Oryctolagus cuniculus: one gene and its partners. The protein of the gene in region 1 purifies or fractionates together with the protein of each later gene. This does not show direct contact. Links are inferred from orthologs where the notes say so. Each region holds a gene or a part of one and is shown in the gene's direction. Other genes may lie near its edges. The genes, in order: USP36, DHX33, GNL2, CHD4, NPM1 and DGCR8.

Evidence for each region.
Region 2: the proteins of USP36 (region 1) and DHX33 purify together in Homo sapiens (affinity purification with mass spectrometry; 5 studies listed by BioGRID and IntAct, counting the BioPlex papers as one, with this or other methods). This does not show direct contact. The link is inferred for Oryctolagus cuniculus from reciprocal best matches to the Homo sapiens genes USP36 and DHX33.
Region 3: the proteins of USP36 (region 1) and GNL2 purify together in Homo sapiens (affinity purification with mass spectrometry; 3 studies listed by BioGRID and IntAct, with this or other methods). This does not show direct contact. The link is inferred for Oryctolagus cuniculus from reciprocal best matches to the Homo sapiens genes USP36 and GNL2.
Region 4: the proteins of USP36 (region 1) and CHD4 purify together in Homo sapiens (affinity purification with mass spectrometry; 3 studies listed by BioGRID and IntAct, with this or other methods). This does not show direct contact. The link is inferred for Oryctolagus cuniculus from reciprocal best matches to the Homo sapiens genes USP36 and CHD4.
Region 5: the proteins of USP36 (region 1) and NPM1 purify together in Homo sapiens (affinity purification with mass spectrometry; 4 studies listed by BioGRID and IntAct, counting the BioPlex papers as one, with this or other methods). This does not show direct contact. The link is inferred for Oryctolagus cuniculus from reciprocal best matches to the Homo sapiens genes USP36 and NPM1.
Region 6: the proteins of USP36 (region 1) and DGCR8 purify together in Homo sapiens (affinity purification with western blotting; 3 studies listed by BioGRID, with this or other methods). This does not show direct contact. The link is inferred for Oryctolagus cuniculus from reciprocal best matches to the Homo sapiens genes USP36 and DGCR8.

What each region holds. Positions count from the first base shown.
Region 1 is NC_091448.1:2,834,945-2,838,886, forward strand, and holds the start of USP36 (ubiquitin carboxyl-terminal hydrolase 36), read left to right. Parts: upstream 1-1,142; 5' UTR 1,143-1,299; exon of another isoform or gene 1,300-1,329; intron 1,330-3,942. UniProt on the Homo sapiens protein: Deubiquitinase essential for the regulation of nucleolar structure and function. Required for cell and organism viability.
Region 2 is NC_091448.1:50,891,981-50,894,646, forward strand, and holds part of DHX33 (ATP-dependent RNA helicase DHX33), read left to right. Parts: intron 1-1,185; coding exon 1,186-1,494; 3' UTR 1,495-2,666. UniProt on the Homo sapiens protein: Implicated in nucleolar organization, ribosome biogenesis, protein synthesis and cytoplasmic dsRNA sensing. Stimulates RNA polymerase I transcription of the 47S precursor rRNA.
Region 3 is NC_091438.1:135,186,090-135,189,589, forward strand, and holds part of GNL2 (nucleolar GTP-binding protein 2), read left to right. Parts: intron 1-1,577; coding exon 1,578-1,717; intron 1,718-3,500. UniProt on the Homo sapiens protein: GTPase that associates with pre-60S ribosomal subunits in the nucleolus and is required for their nuclear export and maturation.
Region 4 is NC_091440.1:102,932,729-102,935,563, forward strand, and holds the end of CHD4 (chromodomain-helicase-DNA-binding protein 4), read left to right. Parts: intron 1-135; coding exon 136-331; coding exon of another isoform or gene 332-334; intron 335-1,436; coding exon 1,437-1,600; intron 1,601-1,721; coding exon 1,722-1,739; 3' UTR 1,740-2,335; downstream 2,336-2,835. UniProt on the Homo sapiens protein: ATP-dependent chromatin-remodeling factor that binds and distorts nucleosomal DNA. Acts as a component of the histone deacetylase NuRD complex which participates in the remodeling of chromatin.
Region 5 is NC_091437.1:58,117,998-58,121,497, forward strand, and holds part of NPM1 (nucleophosmin), read left to right. Parts: intron 1-399; coding exon 400-493; intron 494-799; coding exon 800-906; intron 907-997; coding exon 998-1,065; intron 1,066-3,500. UniProt on the Homo sapiens protein: Involved in diverse cellular processes such as ribosome biogenesis, centrosome duplication, protein chaperoning, histone assembly, cell proliferation, and regulation of tumor suppressors p53/TP53 and ARF.
Region 6 is NC_091452.1:27,750,262-27,754,295, forward strand, and holds the start of DGCR8 (microprocessor complex subunit DGCR8), read left to right. Parts: upstream 1-1,234; 5' UTR 1,235-1,408; intron 1,409-1,608; exon of another isoform or gene 1,609-4,034.

The sequences.
Region 1 (3,942 bases):
CTGGAGCCCTGAGCCGGGAGGGGGCGTGTGCCCCCAGGGTCCCGGGCCCGGGGTCCCCCGAGGGTCCCCGGCTGCACTTTCTGGCGACTGCTGCCTTGGGGTGAACTCTGAGGACACGGGTTCAAACCTCGCGCCCAGCGGGTTGAGCTGTCGCCCTGTAGCACGAGGACGAGGACAGGGACAGTCCGTGGGCTGCGGAGACTGTGCCGCGGTGACCGGCTGGGTCCCAGTGACCGGCTGGGTCCCGGGGACCAGCAGTGACAACTACAGGAATCAGAGGCGCCGCGGGGCGCCCCCCAGGTGCGGGAGGCCTGGGTAAGTGCCCCAGCACCCCAGTCTTGAGGGCAGAATTGGCGGACCCAGCTGCGCCCACCGTCCACGCACCCCCCCACCCCGCAGGCCCGGTCTGAGTGGAGCGGAGCCGGGAGCCGCGCGTGGACGGGGTACAGGCTTCGCCTCGCACGGCTTGTTTGCGTTTGCATTTTTTAAAAATTTATTTGAAAAGGAGAGTGACAGAGAGAGAGGGAGGGAGATCGTGAATCCGCCGGTTCACTCCCCAAATGGCCCCAACGGCCAGGACTGCGCCGGGCCGCAGCCGCGAGCTTCCTCTGGGCCTCCCGCGTGGGTGCAGGGGCCTCCGCCGCTTCCCAGGCCGTCAGCAGGGTGCTGGCCCGCAGGTGCGGCAGCCGGGACTCGAACAGGCGCCCAGAGGATGCGGCGTGCCAAGCAGCCGGCCCCGTGTGCCCTGGGGTCCCAGAGTGGCGGCGGTCAGCCGGAGACCACCCTCGCCACCCCTGCCCACGCCGCGCCCACCGCGAGGACAGAGCCCCAGACGCGCCCAGAGCCCCGCGGGGCCGCCCCGTCTCCCCTTCCGGGGCGGGGCTCGCTCCTCTGCGCACCCGAGCGCGCGCAGCCCGCCCGGCGCCCCGCCCACCCGCCCGCCGACCCGGAAGCGCGGCGCCCGCAGGAGCTCGCGCGACTCGGCCTGGGGGCGGGGCGGCTTCGGCTCTGCGCGCTTGCGTCACGGCGTAGGCGGGCGGGGACGCGGCGTGGGGAGGTGACGTAGGCGGCGCGTAGGGCCGCAGTGGGCGGGTCCGGGGCGGGAGGGTCCGGGCTAGGTCCGCCTCCTAAAGGCTCCCGGGCCTTCCGGCGGGAGCACCGCGTGGCGGCTGCGCGCGGCGCCTTTAAGCGCCGCCGTGACACGTGTGTGAGGCGCCGGAGGCCCGGATGGTGCTGTGAGGAGCCGCGAGCCTGAGGCCAGCGCCGCGCGGCCTGAGGCGGCCCGGCCGAGAGTCCTGGGTAGGCTGGGGCTGCATCGGGACGCGGGAGGTGCGTGGGCACGGGGGCGCGCTCGGGGACGGCGCGGGTGCGCGGCGCAGAGGGGACCGGGGGCCCGGCGGCGCTGTCAGCGGGGGTCTCGGAGGGCCCGAGGACGGCTCCAGCGCCGGGGCCCGCAGCTCGCTGGCGGGAGACTGGACAGGCCGAGCGGGCCCGCGCCGGGACGCGGGGCGCAGGGTGGCCCGCGCCGCAGGTGCGGGGTCGGGGAGCGCGCCTGGGGGCGCGGGGCCGGGCGGGAGCGGCGTCGGCAGCGGGGGGCGCCCGCACGCCCGCGGCCCGCGTCGGGGAGAGGCTCCCCGGCTCCCCGGCCCCGGCTCTGCCCGCAGCTCGCGGTTGAGCCCCGGGAGCAGGTGGCCCTGGAGCGGCGACTGTGGAGGCAGGAGGTGGGGGCTGTGTAGGCCGAGCTGGCCCGGGGGCTTGCGGGGGGCGGCTCCCGGGCCGCGGCGGTGTCATTTTAAGGTGACTGCTCGGAGTGAGGCTGACGTCACGACTCGGAAAGTTGTGTGTGTCCAGTCTGACCTAAGCGGCGGGGCTCGGGGCTCCCGCGCCTTAGCCAGCCCCTGCGCCCCGGTGGTCGGCTCGGGAGGCTTTGCCAGGCGGGCCGCCTTTGCGGGCCCTGTCGCACCTCGGGGTCGGGCGGAGTAATGGGCGAGAAGCTTGCTGTGCACGACCCCGGGACGGGAGGACCCAGACTGGCCGGAGGGGGCCCCGAACCCCTGGTGCCCGCCGCGCTCCCAGCGCCCACTTCCGCTGTGTGTACTTCAGTTAAAAAACGCATGCTTGCTTTATTCGAAAGGCAGAATGACAGATGCGGGGCGGAGTGCTGTGCCCTGGCTGCGAGGACGGGGCGGGGCTGCCCGGGACTCCACGTGGGCGGCTGCTCCCCCAGGCGCCCCAGCAGGGAGCTGGAGCGGAGCGGCTTCACCTGCTGCCCTGTGACGTCAGCCCCGAAGGACTTCCGGTCTGGGCGGTCACCGTGATGGTTTTAGCTGTGGATCCGCGCAGCGAGTGAACCCATGAGCTTGGAGACTTCAGCTGAATGCCCCTGAGCCCCGGGAAGTGCGTCAGGCCGCAGGGGACGTCGCTGGGCGGGGGTTTTCGGCCCCTGACTTTCTCGGTTTTCGGGGTGAGGACACGGAGCGGCTGGCCGTGGTTCGCGTGTCTGCAGGGGCAGTGAGTGCACCTGTAACTTTGACTCTTCCTGGTCGCGCTCACAGCCTGGGCCCGCGCCTGTCGCCGTGTGTGACGGTCTTGCTGGGCTCCCCACAGGCGCCGACACCTGTGCTGAGTCCAGGAGTGCCGGTTCTGAGGGCCCAGGACAGCACCTGGCCGGTCAGACCCGCTCCATGGTGCAGGCCGAAGCTGCAGGTCTGTGCGTAGACACCCAGGTGAGCTGGCACGGTTCCGCCCTGGTTACAGTGTGTGCCGTTATCCCCGAGGCCCGGCCGGTGCATAGACACTCAGGTGGGCCGGCACGGTTCCGCCCTGGTTACAGTCTATGCCGTTACCCCCGAGACCCGGCCGGTGCATAGACACCCAGGTGGGCTGGCACGGTTCTGCCCTGGTTACAGTGCGTGCCGTTACCCCCGAGACCCGGCTGGTGTGTAGACACTCAGGTGAGCTGGCACGGTTCCTCCCTGGTTACAGTGCACGCTGTTACCCCTGAGACCTGGCCGGTGTGTAGACACCCAGGTGGGCCGGCACGGTTCCAGCCTGGTTATAGTGCGTGCCGTTACCCCCGAGACCCGGCTGGTACATAGACACCCAGGTGGGCCGGCACGGTTCTGCCCTGGTTACAGTGCGTGCCGTTACCCCCGAGACCCGGCTGGTGTGTAGACACTCAGGTGAGCTGGCACGGTTCCTCCCTGGTTACAGTGCACGCTGTTACCCCTGAGACCCGGCCGGTGTGTAGACACCCAGGTGGGCCGGCACGGTTCCGCCCTGGTTACAGTCCAGCCCGTTACCCCCGAGACCCGGCAGGGACCCTTTGGTTGGTGAGCAGCCTCAAGTCCTTTCCCTTCGGAAAGACTTTCACGCTGGTTTTCTTGCGAGTGAGTGTTGGAGCAGGTGTTTAGGCTGGAGGTTAAGGTGCCCGTGCCCTGCACCACAATACCTGGGTTTGAACTCCAGCTCTGGCTCCTGACGCCAGCTTCCTGCCAGCGCAGGCCTCTGGAGGAAGCAGTGGTGGCCCGGCTGACTGGGCTGTCCCACAGAGGGGCGACCTGGGTCGAGTCCTGTCTCCTGACTCACCCTAGCCCAGCCTGGTCTCTCTCGCTCTCGTTTTTTCTTTTCAAGATTTATCTATTTATTAGAAAGGCAGAGTTACAGAGAAAGGGAGAAAGAGATCTTCCATTCTCCTGGTTCACTCCAAAAATGGCTGCAAGGGTCAGGGCTGGGCCGGGAGCCTGGAACTATCCAGTGCCCCAGGTGGGCCATCTCCCACTGCCTTCCCAGGCACATTAGCAGGAAGCGAAATTGGAAGCCGAGCAGCCAGGATCGCCAGCGCGACTTCATCCCCAGTGCCAGAAGGCTGGCCCGGGACATGCTTTTTTGATGTGGCTTAACTATTTGAAGCTTGGGCTCTGAGCTCCCAGCCGAGGGTGG
Region 2 (2,666 bases), about 48 Mb from region 1:
ACGTGGTGGTTCCTGCTGCAGCAGAGGCCTCGTGATCCTGCCCCGTAGAGATAACTTGTCTGTGTACACAGACACATGGGTTTATGTATCACATTTCCCTTTAACAGAAATGTGGGGGCAAGCATTTGGGGCAGTGGTTAAGGTGCTGCTGGGGAGGCCCACATCCCACGTGGGAGAGCCTGGTCTGAGTGCCAGCTCCTCTGCTCCTCATCCAGCTTCCTGCTCACGCACACCCTGGGAAGCAGCGGTGACGGCTCAAGTATCTGGGTCCCTGCCAGCCGTGCGGGAGACCAGGATTGAGTTCCTGGTTCCTGACTTCCAGATGACCCAGAACCAGCTGTTGCAAGCATCTGGGGAGTGAACCAGCAGATGAAAGATCTCTCTCTCTGTCTCTGTGTTGCTCTGCCTTTCAAATAAAGTGAAAATAAATTTGTAAAATTTTAAAATAAAAAAGCAAAAAAAACCACCAAAAAGCCCAATGTATTACACATGTTCTATAGCTTGTACTATGTATACTTCTTCCTTTTTTTTTATTTTTAAAGTTTTATTTATTTATTTGAAAGTCAGTGTTAGAGAAAGAGGAAGAGGGAAAGAGAGAGAAAGAAAGATAGCCATCTTCCATCTGCTGGTTCAGTCCCCAGATGGCAATGGCTGTGGCTAGCCCAGGCCGAAGCCAGGGGCCTGGGACTCCATCCCGGTCTCCTACATGGGTGACGTGGACCATCTTCTGCTGCTTTCTCAGGTGCATTAACATGGAGCTGGTTCAGAAGTGGAGCAGCCAGTACTTGAACCCACACTCATATGGGATGCAGGGGTCCCAGGTGGCGGTTTAACCTGCTGTTGCACAGTGCTATCAGCGAAGGGGAAAGGCTCCCCCAACCCCGGCACGTCCCAGTGAAGACTTGGGCGAGGGGCTGGGGCCCCCAACCTGCCTGTGGGCTGGGCGCTCAGAGGAATGTCTCCCTCTCAGTCCTCGTTCCCCCCCGGCCATGGTTTTCCTGTCTTCAGTCCGCCCGTGCTGAGCCCTAAGACACGTGAGGAGACCACCCCTCCGTGTCGGTGTCTATGTTGGGCACACGGTAGACCAGAGCTGTGCCGTGGGCCTTGTTGCTGCCACCCACTAGGTCGTGCCGAGCGGTGTTGGTCACTGGGGTCCTTTTCATCTCTCACTTTGTCCTGAAACAGATGTCGATGCCCATGGCGTCCTCCCGAGGGGACATGGAAAGCGTCCGCCGCTGCCTGGCCCACAGCCTCTTCATGAACACCGCCGAGCTTCAGCCCGACGGCACCTACGCCACCACGGACACCCACCAGCCGGTGGCCATCCACCCGTCGTCTGTCCTCTTCCACTGCAAGCCAGCCTGCGTCGTGTACACAGAGCTGCTGCACACCAACAAGTGCTACATGCGCGACCTCTGTGTTGTGGACGCCGAGTGGCTGTACGAGGCTGCCCCCGAGTACTTCAGGAGGAAGCTGAGGACAGCCAGAAACTGAGCCGCTCAGGGTGCTGTCCATGCTGCTCCTGCCCGGGCCTTGGACGCCCGCTGCCCTCACGGCAGGCTCTCCGGTTGGCCCCTGGGGCAGCTGCGCGTCTCCACACAGCTGAGCGTGCCTGGCTTCCAGAAGCAGGAAGCTCAGCCTGGACTGTGTGCATGTGGACCTGCACTTACTGTGCTTTTGGTTCCTGCCGGTGACTGCAGGGGGCTCGTTTCCTCATCTGCCAAGTGGGGGTCATAAGACTTTTTTTTTCCCCCAAAGATTTATTTATTTATTTGAGAGGCAGAATTGCAGAGAGAGGGAGAGACAGAGAGAGAGAGGTCTTCCATCTGCTGGTTCATTCCCCAAATGGCTGCAATAACGAGGGCTAGGCCAATCCAAAGCCAGGAGATTCTTCCCGGTCTCCCATGTGGGTGCAGGAGCCCAAGCACTTGGGCCATCTTCCGCTGCTTTCCCAGGCCATTAACTGGGAGGTGGATCAGAAGAGGAGCAGCTAGGACTTGAACCCATGCCCATATTGGATGCTGGCTCCTCAGGCGGAGGCTTAACCTTCTACGCCACAGTGCCAGCCCTTATAAGAATTCTCACTCACAGGATTGGGCCATGAAGTGTAGAGAACATGGATGGAAATTACCCAGAGCCATGCCCGGCATGGGCTACACTTCCGATGAGTCGTGAGCCATTATGCTTAACCTTGCTGCTCACTACCCAGTGTAAGCGAAGTACAACAAAACCCCCTGCATTCTTGGGACCAAAGCGGGCCTTCTGGAAGGAGGCTGCCATTGGGGGTTGCCGTGCCTGGATGCTGTCCCTGGTCCTATTTGAAGGTCTGTCTGTGGGAGACTGAAATAGCAGCCCTAAGACATGGCGTGCTGTGGGCGGTTCTGGAGGAGGTGCTGTTGTCTGTCACCTACTGGGGTGGCCGTCTGTGTGGAACCTCCGGTCTTAGGATGCGCGCTGCCCTGTGTCTGCCTCCAGGCAGGGGCCACTAAAGGAGTCCCCCGACCCTCGTGCCTCCCTGGCACAGATCCCCATCAGTGGTTTTGGAGGACGTGTACATTTCCTAGGCAAAGGCCAATTTGTATCTTGTGAATATATCAAGTACAGGCATGGGAAACTGACCGCAGGGCCTCCCACATACCCAGCTGTGGTTTTCCCTCTGAAGGAGC
Region 3 (3,500 bases), on another chromosome or scaffold:
TTCCATCTGCTGGTTCGCTCCCCAGATGGCCACAATGGCCGGAGCTGCACTGATCTGAAGCCAGGAGCCAGGAGCTTCTTCTGGGTCTCCCACGTGGGTGCAGGGGCCCAAGTATTTGGGCCATCTTCTACTGCTTTCCTAGGCCATAGCAGCGAGCTGGATCGGAAGAGGAGCAACCAGGACTAGAACCGGCGCCCATATGGGATTGCTGGCGCTGCAGGCGGAGGATCAGCCTGCGCCACAGTGTTGGCCCCCTAACTTTGCTTTTGAAGAGAGCTCTCTGTTGTTAAATGTCAGCAGACCCTGCCATGCCAGCCCACCAGCCTTAAAGACTAGCCTTCGCAGACCTTGAACTCTGCATTTCTGGAGTGATTACTGCTTGAGACTGGCCTTGCCAGTGGGGTTGTGCTTTTAGATCACAAAGCACACTAGCCTCAAGTTCCTCTGCAATACTTTGTCGTAATGAAACCATCTGAACCTGCATGACAATGAAAGAGCCTCATTTTTGGTTGGTCCTTCCGGGAATGGATGGGGTGTCTGGAGTCTCAGGAGGAACGGGGTTTCTTCCTTTGGGATCTCTGCCTTCATCTCAGTCTGGACTTGCTCTTAGCCACCAATAGCTGGGGGGGGCTAAGGACGGGCCCAAGCTGATGCAGACTGTCAGACCCCACTGCTTGCCTGGTGTTTGATCTCTGTGCTTGGGCACACCTCTTGATAGGATAGCGCCTAAGAACCGCAACAGGAAAATACCTGAGAGGACCAGGTGACTGGGCACGCGACTGTGTAGATCCAGGCTGCCTGAGTTTGAATTCTGGTTCTGCCATGCAGGTGACTGTGGACTAGTTACAGCGTCTGCCCGTTCATCTGTTTGCTCTTCTCTGCAGTGGGAGTAGAAGTCATGCCTGTCCCACAGCAGTGTGGTGGTGATTAAAGAGAAAAGACGTGGGGTGCTTGGAGGGGTCCCCACGAGTAGGGAGTGCAGTGTAGGCGCTGACTGCTCTTGCCATCACTGCCTGGAGGTTTTGCACTCGTGCTGTAATGCGCTGTTTAACTGAACACTTTCTGAGGCCCGGTCTCTTGCAAGGTGTTCGCCGGGTCCTGTCGTGTGGTTGTGTGGCTCCGATGTGTTCCCTTGCGGAGATTTATATGTTGATAGCACCCTCCTCCCCAGCCTTTGTAACCGCGCCTCTGTGCGCCTGACCAGAGACCGATCAGCCGGGAGTGCTCTGGATCCCATGGCCGGATGGAACAGGGAGTAGGACAGATCTCAAAGGCAGTTCCCTTTGTTGATGTTTGATTTTCAGTTTCATCCAGTCAGGAAATCGGGCTTGGAAAACCACGAAATCCTCTGTGTGTCTGAGTTGGGTGGATTAGATCATAGTGTGCGAGTGCAGAAGCGGTTTTGTGGTGGTTCCCCCCCCACCCCTCTGAGTTTGAAAGGGCCACAGGAGTGGGTGTGTCTGGTGCTTGGGTGGTGGAGGGCAATTTAAGTCTTGCCTTTCCCTGTGCCAGTGGGGAGGTGGCAGAAGCCACACAGAATTGTTTATTACATGGCGACACTCTTTGTTTGAAAACAGGAAACACACGTGTGATTAAGCAGTCGTCATTGCAAAAGTTTCAAGAGGAAATGGAGGCTGTCATGAAGGATCCATACAAAGTCGTCATGAAGCAGAGCAAGTTGCCGATGTCTCTTCTGCACGATCGAATCCAGCCTCATGTAAGCTGTGGGAGATCCCTGGCCATGGAACTTCTTGGGTGGACTCCACACAGATACCTTTCCAACATGTTTGTCTCTGGCCTTAATACAGCAGTGGTGAATGTCCTGAGACTTCCTTGTTCACCTTTGATAGGGGTCTCACCTGTAGTCTGGGTCGAGTTTTGTCAGGGAGGTGCAGTAGCGTGGTGGCTCACAGCACAGGCTTGGGAGTGAGGCCTGAAGTGTAGTGTGTTTTGTTGTTGTTGTTGTTGTTTTTAAGATTTTTATTTCTTTGAAAGAGTTAAAGAGGTAGAGATGGAGAGAGGTCTCCCGTCTGCTGGTTCACTCCCAAGATGGCCACAGTGGCCAGAGCTGTGCTGATCTGAAGCCAGGAACCAGGAGCTTCTTCTGGGTCTCCCATGTGGATACAGGGGCCCAAGTATTTGGGCCATCTTCTGCTGCTTTCCCAGGCCATAGCAGAGAGCTGGATCAGAAAAGGAGCAGCTGGGACTTGAACCAGCGCCCTTATGGGATGCTGGTGCTGCAGGCCAGGACTTTAACCCACTGTGCCACAGCACCAGCCCCTGAAGTGTAGTTCTTGCTCTGCCCCTTAGTGAGGATTCTCTGGGAGTTTACACGTCCCCGCCTGTGACATAAAGATGCATCAGCACCGTGGACGACTGCGTGCAGATGCAACGTGTGGAGAGCACTCAGCCCCTAGTGAGCACACAGCACACCACCTAATGAGAGCTGAATCAACAGCATTGTTACGATTTTTGATCATTTATTTATCTTGGTAGGCACAGCTGCTTAAGTAGTAATTCCATCAAGCTTCGAGGGACTGTAGGATTAGGATTGAGGTGGTGAGGGTCCCTTCCAGCTTCTGTGGGACCCTTGGGGACTTTTCCACTGAAAAGAAGGTGCTGTCCAGATTGGTGGCTGCCACTGCAGCCTGCATTACGGTCAGGACTAGGTCTGGCCGGAGTGGCCTGAGTTTCACACAGGACGAAGGGATGGCCTGGCGTCTGCCTGCACATCTTTACTTGCGCTGAATAATAATTCCCAGAAGTGTAGCCAGTGCGTACGCTTCAGTTCCAGCATAAGGAGGGAAGGAGACTGGTGACGTGCGTACAAGGATTAAACAGTTCAAAGAAAAGTGTTTACTTGCGGAACAAAATCTAAACCAAGGCCTGGTTGCTGCCTCAGGTTTTGTCAATTATGTTTTGTTTTATGACGGACTAGAAGAATGGCACCTATTAGTGAAATGACTGTTTTCTTTCAGGGAAGCACATGAGTGTAATTCATGAACCACAGACAAGTTGCTCATTTCCCTTGTTCTCTTTGTCTATTCTCCCTAAAGCCATCTTGTAACCAACTCTTGAATCCTGTTTATGGGAAGAACAGAGAAGTTCTATTATGGACTCATTGCTTTGTTGCCTGTTCCAGTTGTTCGGGGCATCTAAGATTCAGTGCTTAAGTTGCTGCCCTTGGAACGGTACCTGCAGCTGCCGCAGCTGCCGTTTTGATGCAGACAGGTTCTCGGGGTCATTGAGTTTTCTGCTTTGCTCCTAGAAATCCTTACATTTTTGGTGTTAGTACAGTGTCTGTTACTTCCTGTAAAGTGGAATTCTGAGTTTGTTGGCACAGTAGTGTCAAGTCGGACATGCTTTTATCTTGCGCACATTCACGCCCGTGTGTATGAGAATGTGATTTCTGTAGCAACACAGCAAAAGTACTATAACTTATTTTGCCTACCTAAAATAGGTATTAGTGCATCGCGCCTCTTCATGTGTAGGTTTACAGG
Region 4 (2,835 bases), on another chromosome or scaffold:
GGAGTGGTGTTGGGGAGCCAGCCATGACGTTCTTCCTAAGTTCTCATTACCTGCAGGAAGCGGTGAGCTGGGGGGTCCATTAACAATGAGCAAAGTAAGTGTCATTCCAACTCTGTCTCTTTATCCCCTGTCCAGCTCTTGGAACAAGCCTTGGTGATTGAGGAACAGCTACGCCGAGCTGCCTACCTGAACATGTCAGAGGACCCTTCTCACCCTTCCATGGCCCTGAACACTCGCTTTGCGGAAGTGGAGTGTTTAGCGGAAAGTCATCAGCACTTGTCCAAGGAGTCCATGGCAGGAAACAAGCCAGCCAATGCAGTCCTGCACAAAGGTAGCCAGTGGCTCCCCTGCCTCCTGCTCATTCAGCCTTGACCCAGAGCGTGTGGAAGCCTTTTTCAGAGCCCTTTGGGAGCACAGGTCGTACCGAGGATCTTTGCCATCCTCCTTGGGAAGCTGAGGTCTGAGAGGCAGTCAAGGACGGCCACTGCTGGCCTCTTAGTGCATTCAGGTTCTTGAGGTGCAGAGTGGCACAGAGACACCCAGTGTCACTTGGGAACCTTAGGATGTCATCTTCAGATCGCTGCAGATTCTAGACCCTTTCCAACTTCGCTTCTATTTAAAGTAAAACAGCATGAGGAGGTGGAGGGTGAAGTGAGGAAAAGGCAGCTGTCATAAAGGAAGTGGGGGACAGATCCAGAAGGCAAACAGCAGGAATAAACTCCTCTCGAGTGGAGGAAGTGCAGACAGTCGCGAGCAGGGGGTGTGAGGGCTAGTCCACTAAGGGAGATTTTTTTTTTTTTTTTTTTTTTTTGACAGGCAGAGTTAGAAGGACAGAGAAAGGTCTTCCTTTCCTTGGTTCACCCCCCAAATGGCCTCTGCAGCCAGCACTGTGCTGATCTGAAGCCAGGAGCCAGGTGCTTCTCCTGGACCCATGCAGGTGCAGGGCCTAAGCACTCGGGCCATCCTCCACTGCCTTCCTGGGCCACAGCAGAGAGCTGGCCTGGAAGAGGAGCAACTGGGACAGAACCGGCTCCCCAACCGGCACTAGAACCCGGTGTGCCGGCACCGCAGGCAGAGGATTAGCCTAGTGAGCTGTGGCACCGGCCAGGGAGGTCATTTTTTTTAAAAAATTATTTATTTGAAATGCAGAGTTTAGAGGGAGAGACAGAGATCTTCCATCTCCCAAATGGCTGCAAAAGCCAAGGCTGAAGCCAGGACCCAAGAGATTCATCCAGGTCTCCCATGCTGGGCTGGCCTCTGCTGCTTTCCCAGGCGCATTAGCAGGGAGCTGGATCGGAAGTGGGGCAGCAGGGACTTGAACCGGTGCCCATGTGGGATGCCAGCGTCGTGGGTGGCGACTTGACCTGCCCCATCATAGCACCGGCCCCAGAGCATCTTTCTTGCCCAGCACAGCTCAACCCGTTTTCCCTCTGCAGTTCTCAAACAGCTGGAAGAGCTGCTCAGTGACATGAAAGCCGATGTGACTCGACTCCCAGCGACCATTGCCCGGATTCCTCCTGTGGCTGTGAGGTTACAGATGTCAGAGCGTAACATTCTCAGCCGCCTGGCCAACCGGGCACCGGAGCCTCCGCCACAGCAGGTGGGATCATTGGTTCTCCACGCCAGCGCTTCCCACAGACCCGTTCTGAAGCTGTAACTTTGCTGTCAGGCTGGGTCCCTGTGGCCTGTGAAGTTCTGACCCCCTGTCTTGTCTCCTCCAGGTAGCCCAGCAGCAATGAAGAGCCAGCCTGACACCACCTCCACCGCTGAGCAGTGACCTTCCTCACTTCCTCTTGTCCCGGCTTCTCCCCCGGGGGCCCGAGAGACCCTCGCCTTCCTCCTGCCCATCTTCCATGTTGTAAAGGAACAGCCCCCGTGCACTGGGGAGGGGAGGGAGTGCGGGGCAGTGGTGCCCTTCCTGCTGGAGATTCGGGCAGCAGCAGCAGTAGCGCCGGCGCCATCTGCAGGGAGCTGGCGGGCTGGCCTTCTGGACCCTGGCTTCCCCCACTGTAACGTCTGTTACACACAAACTGTTGTGGGTTCCTGCCGGGCTTGAAGAAAATGATCTGAATTTCTTCCTCCTTTTGGTTTTATTTTGCTGGTTTATTTTGTGTTTTCTCCTTTTTGGGGTATTCAAGAGTGGGCCGGGCCCCTGGGTGAGACACAGCTACCTCTGTTGGCATCTTTTTAATACCAGGAACCCAGCGGCTCCAGCCACTGTGCGGCTAGAGTGAAATAAAGTGGAAAAAAAAAAAAAGGAAAAAGAACCAAAAGCATAAAAAACCGCAACAAATTTCTTGATCAAAATTGAAAATAAAAGTTTCCTTGTATTTTAGTCCTCTGGTTCAGTGTGGGTGTAGGCGCAGCTGGGTGAAGGTGAAAGGCAGGAGCCCCCCTGAAACTCATCGGATATTTAAGGGCTGCTTCGAGCCATCCCCCCATCCCCTCCCAGAAGAGACCGGAGCCCCCAGCACCGTCCCGGGGTGCCTCCGGACGCGCAGTCCCCGGCACCGCCGCCTGGTGGCGCTGTGGCTGCGCCGAAGTCCACTTCGGGCTTCAGACTGCCGGTCGGGGCGCCTGATTCTGTCCCGGTTGCCCCTCTTCCAGGCCAGCTCTCTGCTGTGGCCCGGGAGTGCAGTGGAGGATGGCCCAAGTGCTTGGGCCCTGCACCCCATGGGAGACCAGGATAAGTACCTGGCTCCTGCCATCGGATCAGCGCGGTGCGCCGGCCGCAGCGCACTGGCCGCGGCGGCCATTGGAGGGTGAACCAACGGCAAAGGAAGACCTTTCTCTCTCTCTCACTGTCCACTCTGTCAAAAAAAAAAAAAAAAAAAC
Region 5 (3,500 bases), on another chromosome or scaffold:
TACAGAGAGGCAAAGAGAGGTCTTCCAATGCTGGTTCACTCCCCAAGTGATCGCAGTGGCTGGAGGTGGGCTGATTGAAGCCAGGAGCTTCCTCCAGGTGTCCCCTGCTTTCCCAGGCCATAGCAGAAATCTGGGTCAGAAGTGGAGCAGTTGCCCATACAGGATGCTGGCAATACAGGCAGCGGCTTCATCCACTTTGCCACAGTGCTGGCCCTAGAAAGTGGAATTTTATTTGGTGCTTCTTTACCCCATTAGTCATAGCTACATGTTTCTGTCACTAGAGTTGAATGGTCAGCTGTTAAAAAGGTTTCTGCTGTTAAATAGAGGGGGAAACAGACTCACTGGTTTATTTTGGTGTGTGGATTTGCCTGTAATGCTGTTCTTAAATCTCCATTTTAGGTTTCCCTTGGGGGCTTTGAAATAACACCACCTGTGGTCTTAAGGTTGAAGTGTGGTTCAGGGCCTGTGCATATTAGCGGACAGCACTTAGTAGGTATGTTCTTTTCATATACTGCATTGTATATATATATATATCATATACTGCAGTTGCTTGGCTTCTGGTTTGTACTTAAACCAGGCTTGGTTATACTATTACTGTTTATAGTGAGTTCCAGTGAGAACCTTAAATTAATGATAGTAAGGGCATGTTTAACAACAAAATCCTTTAAAAAATTCTGTTGCCATTTGCTGTCCTTTTGTTGGATTTTTAAGTGTTCAGCATTCTATAGTATTAATCTTTATTTTTCCTGAATGATTCTTGTTTGAGTTTTAAAATAAATGTCTGATAATTTTATTTTAGCTGTGGAGGAAGATGCAGAATCAGAAGACGAGGAGGAAGAGGATGTGAAGCTATTAAGTATATCTGGAAAACGATCTGCCCCTGGAGGTGGCAGCAAGGTGCCACAGGTAGAGATGTCATTTCACTGCAGATTTGCATTACAGCCTTTGTTAGGTGGTAACAATCAGCATTTGCTCATAAGTATATTTTCCTTTTTAGAAAAAAGTAAAGCTTGCTGCTGAAGAAGATGATGAAGATGACGACGACGACGATGATGATGATGAAGAGTGAGTAGCATGCTTTTATGTGCATGGGTGGTAATTTTATGGAAATGATTTACCAGAGTTATTCTGTGCAATAGTTCATAATTAAAGGGATTCATGTGGTCAGTGGTTGTCAGCAAAAAAATGTTGGGACTGAGCCTTTAAAATGCTGCTGTGCATTGTGGCTTTTCCTAAGAGTAGAGCATGCAGCATTGGTAGGAATGGGAAAGTAGAGACAGAATCCTTCCATCTATTGGCTTACTCCCCAAATGGGCTGAACCAAAGCAATGAGCCCAGGAGTTTCTTCGACCTCCCATGTGGGTTTGGGAGCCTAAGCAATTGGGCGATCTTCCACTGCTTTCCCAGACCATAAGCAGAGAGTGAATTAGAAGGGGAGCAGCTGGGACATAAACTGGCACACTTATGGGATGCTGGCACCACAGATGGAGACTTAGCCTGCTGTGCTACAGTGCCAGCCCCAGTAGATTTACTTTTTAAAATGTAACCACAGTGTCGGAATTGTCCCTTTGTGTATATAGTAAGTAGATAATGCTTAGGGAGAAAGTAAAGTATGGGTGGTCCAAATCAGCACATTTTCGAATAGAGGAGAGGGTAGTCAAAAGCATGTGTGTGCTAAGGGACGTCATGGTTGCCTCAAGGGGGCTGAGGGTTAAGAGCATGGCATGGATGATGGTTAAGATGTGAAAAGATGAAATAGCCAATTGGCAGTAGACTTTGAACAAAGAACAAGGTGAAAGGGAGATCCTCTTTTGAGGATGGAAAGGGTATGGCACAGCTTAGTTGAAATTTATATCTGGATTCTATACTAGTATTGTTGGACAGTGTCTTCTGTACTGAATACAGACTTGATTTTTAATCTTTCATCATTTTTGTTAGGTGTAAGAAGTAACTTAGAGGTGATTTGGAGTATATGTATGTGTATATGTATGCGGACACTCTTATAAGTGGTTTAAATATCCCTGGATTGTGGAATACTTGGATCCTGGAATCAACACCCTGTGCAGCCATCACCTAAAAACAATTTTCTGTTTTTACATTTATTTGAAAGAGTTAAGGAGAGAGGGAGAAACAGATCTTAACATCCACTGATTTGCCCCCAAGTGGCTACAGCAGTCAGGGTGGAGCCTAGCCAAGAGCCAGGAGTATCAGTGAGTGGGAAGTGTCTAAAACTTGGCCTTTTGAAGTTTTTTTTTAAAGACAGATTCTTTTATGTCTTAAACCGATTTATTTTTAAAACTTTTTATTTGAAAGGCAGAGTTAGAGAGGCAGAGAATCTTCCATCTGTTCACTACCTAAGTGGCCGCAACAGCTGGAACCAGGAACTTCTTCTGGATCTCCCGTGAAGGCACAGAGGCCCAAAGACTTGGGCCATCTTCTGCTTTTCCAGGCCACAGAGGAGATGGATGTGAAGTGGAACAGTTGGGTCTTGAACTGGAGTCCATACGGGGTGCTGGCACTGCAGCTGGTTTAACCCACTGCGGCACATCACCAGCTCCTTGAACCTTTTCTTGGGCCGTTATCAGGAAGCTGTATCTGAAGTGGAGTAGATGCGACACCACGTCACTAGCTGCACAAATCATTTTAAAATGGTGTAACTGAAAAAATCATTTCCCTTAGCTGTGACTCCTCATGTTCCTCAACGAATGAACTTGGTCTTTATATTTGTAGATTTGCCTATTCTAGATGTTTCGGGTAAATGGTGACTGGAGGTTTAACTCTTCGGGAAAAAAAAGCCTGGCAGTTCCTCTAAGTGCCTGAATGATTCCTGCCAGTGGTGGGTTGTATACATACCTACCCCACTGGTGTATAGTATCATTGTGGTTTTGATTTGCATTTCCATGGTGACTGGTGATGGACATATACCATATGTATATCTTTGGAGAAAAATGTTGGTCAGATCCCTTGCTCATTCAAAAATTGCTAGAGTTCTTTATATTCTGGAAGCAAGTACCTTAGGTGATTTGCAAATACTTTCTGCCATTTTCTGCCATCTTCAGTAACTTGGTGGTAGCCTTTGCATAAAAATTCGTTTTCATGAAGTACAGAATTTTTTGCTTTGCTTTTGTTAAACCTAAAACACCGTTGCCAAATCTGAGGTCGTGAAAATATACTAGTAGCTTCAGCATTCATATAGGTCTTAGATTACTGTTTGAATCACCAAGTGAGAACCCTATGTGGTTTTAGGACAGATTTTTCCAAGGAAGTCAGCATTGTTGTAGGGATTCTGTTGAATATTGTCATTAGATTTAAGTCTACTGTGAATTTTTTGTGTCTTTAGGGTTTTTTTTTTTTTTTATTTTTTTTATTTTTTAAGATTTATTTGAAAGAGTTAAACAGAGCACAGAGAGCTTCCAACCACTGGTTCACTTCCCAGATGGCCACAATGGTTGGAGTTGGGCTGATCCAAAACCAGGAGCCAGGAGCTTCTGGGTCTCTCC
Region 6 (4,034 bases), on another chromosome or scaffold:
TTAAGATTTATTTCCACTTATTTGAAAGGCACAGTTCCAGAGAAGGAGAGACCTTCCATCTGCTGGTTCAATCCCCAAATGGCTGGAAGCTTATTCCGGGTCTCCCACATGGGTGCAGGCTGAGCACTTGGGGCATCTTCTGCTACTTTCCCAGGCACATTAGCAGGGAGCTGGATCCGAAGTGGAACAGCCAAGACTCGAACCGGCGCCCATGTGGGATGCTGGCATCGCAGGTGGCCATGCTCAATGCCAGCCCCCATGCTTTGCTTCTAATCCAGCTTCCTGCTCATTCACCTGGGAAGGCAGAGGAGTGATGGTTCTCGCTAGGGGCCCTGCCCTCCATGTGGGAGACCAGGATGGAGTTCCTGGCTCCTGGCTTCAGCCTGGCCCAGACGTGTGGCTGTTGGATGGAGCCCAGTGGCTGTAAGATTTCTCTTTCAAATACCTACCTACATTTTTTTTTAAGTTGTGATCCAGGGGTAGGCATTTGGCACAGCCCGTGAGCTGTTGCTTCAGACACCTGCATCTCACGTTGCAGTGGGGTCCTGGCTCCACTTCCTGCCCACGCGCACCCTGGGAGGCAGCAGCTGCTAACTCTAGTACTTCGGTCCCTGACACCCACGTGGGAGACTCCGACTGACTCCCGGTTTCCCGGTCCCAGCTGTAGCAGGCATCTGGGAGTGAACCAGCATCTAGAAGGGCTTTCATCTCTACGGGTCTCTATCCCCGTCTTTGCTTTCAGATACTGTTTCTCCCATGGCCTGCCCCCGCTGCAGCACCTGTCACCGAGGGAGACGTTCCGTTCCCGGCGCTCCCTCTGCATTCATGGGACGCGGCGCTACCTTGGCCGCTAGGCTCTCCCTTTCTGTCGCGGGCTCCCGTGCACTGTCCACTCCAGCAGTGCTTGGAGGCTGCTCCCGGCGTGCCCCGCGCTTCCCGCGCTCCCCTGCTCCCGGCATGCCCCGCGCCCCCCGTTCCCAGCGCCCCTCGCGGCCGCCGCCCTCGGAGAAGGCGAACGCCCCTCCACCCACCCCCCACGCTGGGGGCGACCGTTAGCGCGGCCTGGACCTCGCGCCTGGGCCCGCCTACGTGGCCTCGCTATTGGCCGCGCGCCGCCGTCGCGCGCGCCGCGCTCCGCCGATTGGCGGCCTCCGCGGCCCGCTTCCCGCGTCTCTCCCAATGTACGGCGGCGGCGCGCGGGGATTGGCCGCGCGCCGCAAAGGCCCGCCCTCAGCTCGCCCGGCGCGGCAGGCGGGTCCCGCCGACCGGAGAGGCTAGGCGGCCTTTCCAGATGATGGCGGCGGCGGGGGCGGCGGCGGTGATGGCGGCTGCAGCAGCCGCCGGGCGGTGAGGCTCTCCCCGCTGCGGTCGGGCTGCGGGCGGCTCGGGCAGGCCGCGGGCGGCGCAGGTAGGTGCGGGGCGCGAGGGGCGCCCCGCGGGCGGGCGGGCGGGCGGGCGCTGCGGCCTGCGCACCCTTCCCTCCGTCCCTCCTGGCCGAGGCCGCGGGCCCGGGCTGCGGACGGGGCGCGGGCTCGGGGCGGGCCGGGCCACGCGGAGTCCCAGCCTTTGTCAGGCAATATGGCCGCGGGCAGCGGAGGGCGCGGGGGCGCGGGCCCGCCGGGGGCCCGGGCCGGGGCCGGGGGTCGATCCCGGGCCCGGGGGGTCCCTGGTGCTCGTCGCTACCCGCCCAGTTATGGAGACCCTTATCCGGGTGGCCCGAAGGCGCAGTGTCGCCTCCAGGCGCGGAAGGGGCGGACAGGGACGGCGCTGGCGTGGACGCTGCCCGGCATGGATAGAGTTGGGGAACCCCGAGAAGTCGCCGAGTCTTTTCTCTCCACCAAACGCTCACGGATTGAGCGCCCTGCCAGCCATCGGGATGTGGTTTTATTTGTTAACCGTGAGCGTGGTAGAGAGAAACGGGAAGGCGGCAACCTGTTGACAGCCATACCTGTCAAGTGCCCTCGGGTGGACTTGGGTTGCTCGTGGTAGGAACCGGATTTGCCGTTTCGCATGCTTGCATGTCCCTGGTTTGCGGGTGCACGGCGGCCAGTGCCCACCCTCGTTCAGCCGCTCGCCACCCCGCCCCGTTAAACCCGGCGGCCGCAGAGGGAGTGAGGACAGGACGCGAGGCCCGGTTGGAGGATGACAAAAGGACTGGATGAGGTCATTGCCGCTGGGATGGGCGGGAGACTGCAGCGAAGGGTGCTGTCCAGGGGCGCTGTGCGTCCGCGCCTGGCTCCCGGTCCAGTTGGCAGGGCCGGGCTTGCGGCTGGCCGTGTGCTCCGTGGGCTGCAGGGCCTGCGGGCCTCCCTTTGAGCCCTCTGTGGCCAGCCGCTGCAGGGGAGCACCGTCCAGGGCGTCTGATGGAGGCCGCCTGGTGACCTTGGAGTTGGGGCATGGGAGCCCCCTCGCCTGGGCTCTCCCCCAGCCTCCTGGCTTGAATGCAGTTTCCTCTGTGTCTTTCAAGATCCTGGCTCTGGCCTCCCTTCGGAGCCCCGGCCTCTTGCACATCCCCATGTGTTGTTACTTTTGATTCCAAAGTGGCCATGCCCGCCCCTGTCCAGACCACCCGCACCTCTGTTGCTCTTACTCCTGCGTCCCCAGGAAGCCTTGAGCTCACCTTGCCTCTCCGGTATTCCGCCTCTCTGCAGCTTAAGGTCCTGGCCGAGCTGCCTGGTGAGCCTCCGCCTCCTCTTTGCTGGAACCCTCAGCCCCACCCCCTCACCTGTAGGTTTGGTTTGGTTTTGTTTTGTTTTGGACACAAAGTGATCTTTTTAGCTGTGTGGTGGTGGAAGGCTACTTCAGAAAGGTTGTAGACAATGGAATGAAGAGAGTTGATTTTGACCCCCCCCCCCCCCATTTTTTTTTTTTTGAATAAATGCATAGGTGAGGTTTTCAGAAAGTTCATGGGAAGTATGTATTATGAGACTGTGCACGGTTGGAAAAAGTTGTTCACTGAAATAGACATCTGTGGGAAAAGTGTATTTGAGGAGGGGGAAAGAGAAACCTCATGTGCTGGTTTACTCCCCCAAATACCTGTGATGGCCGCGAGGGCCAGTCCTGAGCCAGGACCCAGGCCACAGCCAGGAGCTCTGTCCAGGCCTGCGCCATGGGTGCTAGGAACCCAACCGCTTGAGCTGTCAGGCTGCCTCCCAGGTGCTATGCTAGGCCCAGTGTTCCCCTCTTTTTCTTTTTACACATTTTGAGAAGCAGAGAGAGAGAGACAGCGCCCAAGGCTGGGTCGGGCCGAGGCTGGGAGCCAGGGACTCAGTCCCGTCTCCCCTGTGAGTGGCAGGAGCCTGGAATCAGGAGCGGAGTGACCCAGGTGCTCCTTCGGCAGGGGTAGGTTGGTTCTTAACCATTCTTTGAAACACCTGCCACAAGCCGAATCTTTGTGCTTTTCCGCAAACTTTTTGAAGTACCTTTGTGAAAATCCCAGGTGGTCTAGACCGAGGCCAGCTGGCCACTGGGGCGAAGCAGCTCCTCCCTGTGCTCCTGTGTGGCCTTGAGCGAGGCTCAGTGCTGTGAGAGCTGACAGAGCGGGTGTGCGAAGACCTGAGAGCGCGCGGAGGGGCCTTGGGCCGCGTGACGTCGCTGCTCGCACCAGTGACCCACCTCAGGATAAGGGCCTAGTGGTGGCCATCTGTGCTTGCCTTCGCTGGCCTGACCCTCTGCGCCTGCCCTGGACACACTGCTGGAGCTAGCCCCGCCACACTCTTTCTCTTGATGTTCCCTGGAATGTCCCGCCTCCTGCCCCTCTGCCTTCGCTGGCTACCTGTCTGCGCTGCCTCCCCTTCCCCAGCCCTGTTCTTTGCTTTGTTTGAGCTTGGACATTTCACGGTTACTCGTGCTCAAAATGTGAGCCCCGTGGGTTGGGGGCTTGTCTTGTGTCTACAGTGTTCCAGAGTGCCTGTGTGCGCCACGTGGAAGGTGTTGGAGCAAACTCTTGTTGATGGGGAGAGAAAGCTCTCCGGGGGATGTACGGCCCTTGCCCAAGCTCGGGCTGGCCGCCCGCCCGCCCTCCCGAGCACCCC